2 linked regions of the Saccharomyces cerevisiae S288C genome follow. The gene in region 1 interacts genetically with each later gene. Each region holds a gene or a part of one and is shown on either strand. Other genes may lie near its edges. The genes, in order: ERP5 and COX8.

The links.
Region 2: mutations in ERP5 (region 1) and COX8 together harm fitness more than expected from each alone (negative genetic interaction), as found in Saccharomyces cerevisiae (2 studies listed by BioGRID).

The regions. Positions count from the first base shown.
Region 1 is NC_001140.6:329,984-333,420, forward strand, and holds ERP5 (Erp5p), read left to right. Parts: upstream 1-2,298; coding exon 2,299-2,937; downstream 2,938-3,437. Other genes in the region: GGA2 (phosphatidylinositol 4-phosphate-binding protein), read left to right, coding at 1-77; CTM1 (cytochrome c lysine N-methyltransferase), read left to right, coding at 327-2,084; UBA4 (Uba4p), read left to right, coding at 3,089-3,437. UniProt on the Saccharomyces cerevisiae protein: Involved in vesicular protein trafficking.
Region 2 is NC_001144.5:908,886-911,500, reverse strand, and holds COX8 (cytochrome c oxidase subunit VIII), read left to right. Parts: upstream 1-1,535; coding exon 1,536-1,772; downstream 1,773-2,615. Other genes in the region: tethering complex ATP-binding subunit VPS33, read left to right, coding at 1-1,266; SUMO ligase CST9, read right to left, coding at 2,103-2,615. UniProt on the Saccharomyces cerevisiae protein: Component of the cytochrome c oxidase, the last enzyme in the mitochondrial electron transport chain which drives oxidative phosphorylation.

The sequences.
Region 1 (3,437 bases):
TCAAGTGGAAGGTCAACTATTCTGTCAACTCCACCCAAGCTGAAGAAACTGCTGTTTTTACGTTACCTAATGTATAATCCTCTGGCGTTTCTTATCAATCCTTTCTCTTCTCTATGTATATTTTTAGAAGGATAATACCTCTATGTAGACAATCTTATAAAGATCTTCGCAACAATACATATTTCACTTACTAATATATGTTGCGTTTTCATGCATCAAAAGTAGTTAGCAATGCTAGATCGTGTAAAGGAAAAAAAAGAGAAATAGTATAATTCGCCATCCTCATAACCACTGAAAAATCGAAGTTAACCAAAAGGAAAGTTGAAATGGAGGAAGTGTTCCGTTTTTACTCGAACTCTAGAAATATCTTCATTCATAAAAGCCTTTCATTAAAACCATCCACCATTGATGACCCCAAAAGTGGATATGGCCTTTTCGTAGAACCTTCGAAGTTCAAGAATGATGAATTGAAAAGTGAAACTATCCAATTGCTCCGAATCCCTAAGCGCTGCACGTTTAATATAAACACACTTCTGGCTCTCTTGGGAGATGAGGACGAATTTTCTTCAAAGGAAGAATTTCAAAGAACTAATGACAAAATTAAGATTGCTCTTCGTGAAATAATGGCTCATCCGAATTTCAGTGTGTTCCTGACAGAAACAAATTTACTCATAATTTATTTCATGATATTTCAAACTATTCGTAGTCGTTATGAGATTCCCGAAAATATCCAATATTATTTAGAAAATGTTTTAATGAGCATTGAAGTAGAAACAGCCATGGATTCTATTGAAAACTTAGCTACTGATTATGGACATTATCCACAGATTTTTGGCCTTCGAGAGACGCTAAATTTATTTAAAGAACTGTTTCACGACGTCTTGAATTTAAGTGATATCAAACATCTTTATTCTGCAATAATTTCACGTTGTTTAGAGATACCAGAAAGGGCCGATACCAAAAGTGAAGAATTCACGGTCCATTCTACTTTAGTCCCTATTGTAGATTTTGCCAACCATGAAGGCACCCAAAAAAATGCTTATTTTGACATCGACCCTTCAAATAATGACGTTTTACTTCTATTGGATACAAAAGCGGTCCAAAGTGAACTCACAAAACCTATTGAAGTTTTCATTAGTTACTCACCAACAGAGGATTTATTTTCCATGCTTGTAACATATGGATTCACCCCAGATTTTAGAGGGAATTCCCAATTTTGGACTGTATCCTTTGACAGGTGCTTTTTAAGAAACTATGATGGACCAGATAAAACTACAAATTTAAGATTGTTTTACAAATGGATGCACATAAATCCAGTGGTACCACTAGTTAAATACGAGCACAACGGAAAGACTCGCTGGTTTCTCAATGACACCACGCCTGAATTTGATATGCTTTTGCTCCCATTCATTCCATCGATAGATGATGGCAAAATTGCTCGGTGGGCGTACGATTCCACATGTCATTTGATGTTCACGAAAATCCATTGTCTGATAAATCCCGAGGCCAACGAACATGCGTTAATGATTGCAGAAAACTACCGCTCTCTCATTAAAGAGAAAGAGTCAAATGGTGACGATTTCATAAATTTACCGCCACTAGCTTGGTCATTGCGTTACAAAGATACAGAAAACGATTGTGTACGGCAAAGACATATATGCAGTGAAGATGCGGTCGCTGTACTTAAACAAGAAGAAATGCAAGACTCAACCAAAACCAAATCCCAGTTTACCAGTTTCTTTCGTAAATTTTTAGAGTTTCGTAGATCCAAAATTATTAGGCCTACCAGTGATTCAAAAGTTGCAAGCATATTATACCAGCAGGAACTGGAAATAATTGCTGACTTAGCAAAAGCTATCGATAGCAGCTCTACCATTTTTTTCAGCGATCTGAATGTTACATTGGACACCGAACCAGAACGGCTCCCCCCTCTAAGGTTTTTAGATGATTACATAGAGATCTCTGCGGATAAGCAGGAGCCAAGCCCAATTTGTGAGGATCTTTCTTATTATACACCCAGCAGGTTTACTGATTTTTTTCAAGAAGAGGTAAGCCAATATGCGGCTTTCTTTCAGGATGACTAGATGAGTACCACTTACGATCTTGTATATAAATGTTTTTAGTTGTCCTTTCTTCTACATTAAAAGCATCACAAAGAACAATCTGACGCGTTTTTCCACTGTCTCTTTCTCGCGTTTTATTCTTTTCCGTTTGAGACAAAAAAAGAGGAGCTTTGTAGTGTAATACTACTAGTTACTTAAGGGAACACATCAAGCATTCGGTGTCTCACAGGCTACTATGAAATATAATATAGTGCATGGAATTTGCCTATTATTTGCTATTACCCAAGCTGTAGGGGCTGTCCATTTTTATGCGAAGTCCGGGGAAACCAAATGCTTCTATGAACACTTATCCCGGGGAAACCTACTGATTGGGGATTTAGACCTATATGTAGAAAAGGATGGTCTGTTTGAAGAGGACCCTGAATCCAGTCTGACAATAACTGTCGATGAAACATTCGATAACGACCATCGTGTCCTAAATCAAAAAAACTCACACACAGGTGATGTTACTTTTACAGCTTTAGACACAGGTGAACATAGATTTTGCTTCACTCCATTCTACAGCAAGAAATCAGCCACACTAAGAGTATTCATCGAACTAGAAATTGGCAATGTTGAAGCGCTTGACAGCAAGAAAAAAGAAGATATGAATTCACTTAAGGGGAGGGTAGGCCAGTTGACTCAAAGGCTATCTTCTATTCGTAAGGAGCAAGACGCTATCAGAGAAAAAGAGGCAGAATTCAGAAATCAAAGTGAATCAGCTAACAGCAAGATAATGACGTGGTCTGTGTTCCAACTTCTCATATTGCTGGGCACCTGTGCCTTCCAGCTACGCTATCTCAAGAATTTCTTTGTCAAACAGAAGGTAGTATAATATACCATGTTTGTTATATAGAGTTTATATATCGCTCATTACGAATCGGTGCAATGAGCTCTTCGATATGAAATATTCCTTAGCTTAGTAATAAGAGTGACTTAAGCTGATGCCGTTGACTGCAAAAGGAAGTAAATAGAAGTCAATAACAATGAATGACTACCATCTCGAGGATACCACGTCTGAACTTGAAGCATTAAGATTGGAGAATGCACAATTAAGAGAGCAGCTTGCCAAGAGAGAAGACAGCAGCCGCGACTACCCATTATCTTTGGAAGAATACCAACGTTACGGAAGACAAATGATTGTTGAAGAAACAGGTGGTGTAGCAGGTCAAGTCAAGTTGAAAAATACAAAAGTTTTGGTAGTTGGTGCTGGAGGTTTGGGATGTCCCGCCTTGCCCTACTTAGCGGGCGCTGGCGTGGGCCAAATAGGCATAGTAGATAACGATGTGGTGGAGACTTCCAATTTGCATAGGCAGGTTCTTCATGATTCTAGCA
Region 2 (2,615 bases), on another chromosome or scaffold:
GGACTAGAAATGGACTTGATTATCTTGGAAAGGAATACCGATCCTATAACGCCATTGTTGACACAACTTACGTATGCAGGAATACTAGATGATCTATATGAATTCAATTCTGGCATAAAGATAAAGGAGAAAGACATGAACTTCAATTATAAGGAAGATAAAATATGGAATGATTTGAAATTTTTAAATTTTGGGTCGATTGGGCCGCAGTTAAATAAATTGGCAAAGGAACTACAAACGCAATATGATACAAGGCATAAAGCCGAGAGCGTACATGAAATCAAAGAATTCGTTGATTCCTTAGGTTCTTTGCAACAAAGGCAAGCTTTTTTGAAAAATCACACAACCTTATCATCCGACGTTTTGAAAGTGGTAGAGACTGAAGAGTACGGATCTTTCAATAAAATCTTAGAGTTAGAGCTGGAAATTTTGATGGGAAATACACTTAATAACGACATTGAAGATATTATACTCGAGTTGCAGTACCAGTACGAGGTTGATCAAAAGAAGATTCTCAGATTAATCTGTTTATTGTCTCTTTGTAAAAATTCACTTCGAGAAAAGGATTATGAATATCTAAGAACCTTTATGATCGACTCTTGGGGCATTGAAAAATGCTTTCAACTTGAATCATTGGCTGAGTTAGGATTTTTCACTAGCAAAACGGGAAAAACTGATTTGCATATTACAACAAGTAAGTCAACAAGATTACAGAAAGAATACCGTTATATTTCACAATGGTTCAATACAGTACCCATAGAAGACGAGCATGCTGCCGATAAAATCACAAATGAGAACGATGACTTCTCGGAAGCCACTTTTGCTTACAGTGGTGTAGTGCCCTTGACAATGAGACTGGTTCAGATGTTATATGATAGGTCTATCTTGTTCCATAATTATTCCTCGCAGCAGCCTTTTATACTGTCAAGAGAACCTAGAGTTTCTCAAACGGAGGATTTAATTGAACAGTTATATGGAGACTCACATGCGATCGAAGAGAGTATATGGGTCCCGGGAACCATTACAAAAAAGATCAATGCAAGCATCAAGAGCAATAATAGACGGTCCATAGACGGATCTAATGGGACATTTCATGCTGCAGAGGATATTGCACTCGTAGTATTCCTCGGAGGTGTAACAATGGGTGAAATAGCTATAATGAAGCATTTGCAAAAAATACTAGGTAAAAAAGGTATCAATAAAAGGTTTATCATCATCGCCGATGGCTTGATCAATGGCACAAGGATCATGAACTCTATATCTTAATTATTATATGATAGATTTGTTAATTTTTTGTATATGCAAATGTGCTTTTTTTCACCAAACGGTTTGCACCAATCATACGAGAGAAGTGTTCGGTGTTTACGGAAAAGCTAGGGGACTAAGAAAAATTGAAAATAAAGGCTGACAGCAGTAGAAACCATTGTGCTGGCTTAGTGATTTATAAGAATGGTTAATTAGTTTTGTATCCTTTAATTTTCTAGATAGAGCCACAGAGCAAACTAAACAGAAAAGTTATCCATTTCCATTACGCAATGTTGTGCCAACAGATGATTAGAACGACAGCTAAGAGAAGTAGCAATATCATGACCAGACCTATTATCATGAAGAGGTCAGTACACTTCAAAGACGGTGTGTATGAAAATATCCCATTCAAAGTCAAAGGAAGAAAGACACCTTACGCCTTATCTCATTTCGGGTTCTTCGCTATTGGATTTGCTGTTCCATTTGTTGCCTGCTATGTTCAATTGAAAAAGTCAGGTGCTTTTTAAAACACCCCCATAAGTTTGAAGGATAGATGTGTGTACATAGCGTGCTTGGTTGAGACGTTTTAGAGTGTGTTCTTTGCTATTCCTAGGTGCGCATATCATCGTTTTATTTATTTGTACAATTTTCTTTTCATATATTCATAATCCTCTCCTTGTGCCTTCGTATTGAGACGGCGGGAAAGAAGGATCTAAGAAGAACATAATTCGACAAATTTCTTCTAAAATAATACCATATATAGTAACACATAAGAAAATAGAATAACTTTTATAATACAGTAACATACTCTATCTATTCTGAAGGCTGTTTTCGTCACGGGGAATCCTTACACCTATTTACCTAATCCTTCTAAACTTATTGTTTTTCTTGCTACTACCCAACACAGTATTACTTGAGCGAGGTGGCAGATGATTATCACTCTTCAAATGTGTATTAGTCAGTTGCTGAGTTGAATTGGACCGCTTTAGTATATTTGATTTCGGCAGTTTACTTTGTTGCAATGAGTTCGATGAAGATGAAAAGGCAAGACCACTGCTTCTTACGTGTGAGCTCAAGTTGTGTGTTATTCTATTCGAACCGCTGATAGTATTATTTCTCTTCCTTGTTATTTTTAATTTTTCTAAAGCTGAGGGAAACTGCGTCGAGGTACTTGTTAAAGGTGTATTTGAATGATGCAATTCTTTGAGGTTACTATTTGGTAAAATAAGCCTATTTGATGATGAAGATAGAGGCGAAGAGGGTTGGAGAGAAGCTGAAGATAATCTTGATATATTTTTGGAAGATACAGAGCCATTATTCGTGAGGATGTCAAGATTTGGCAACTTTCCATCGAAGCCTTTTGCAACACG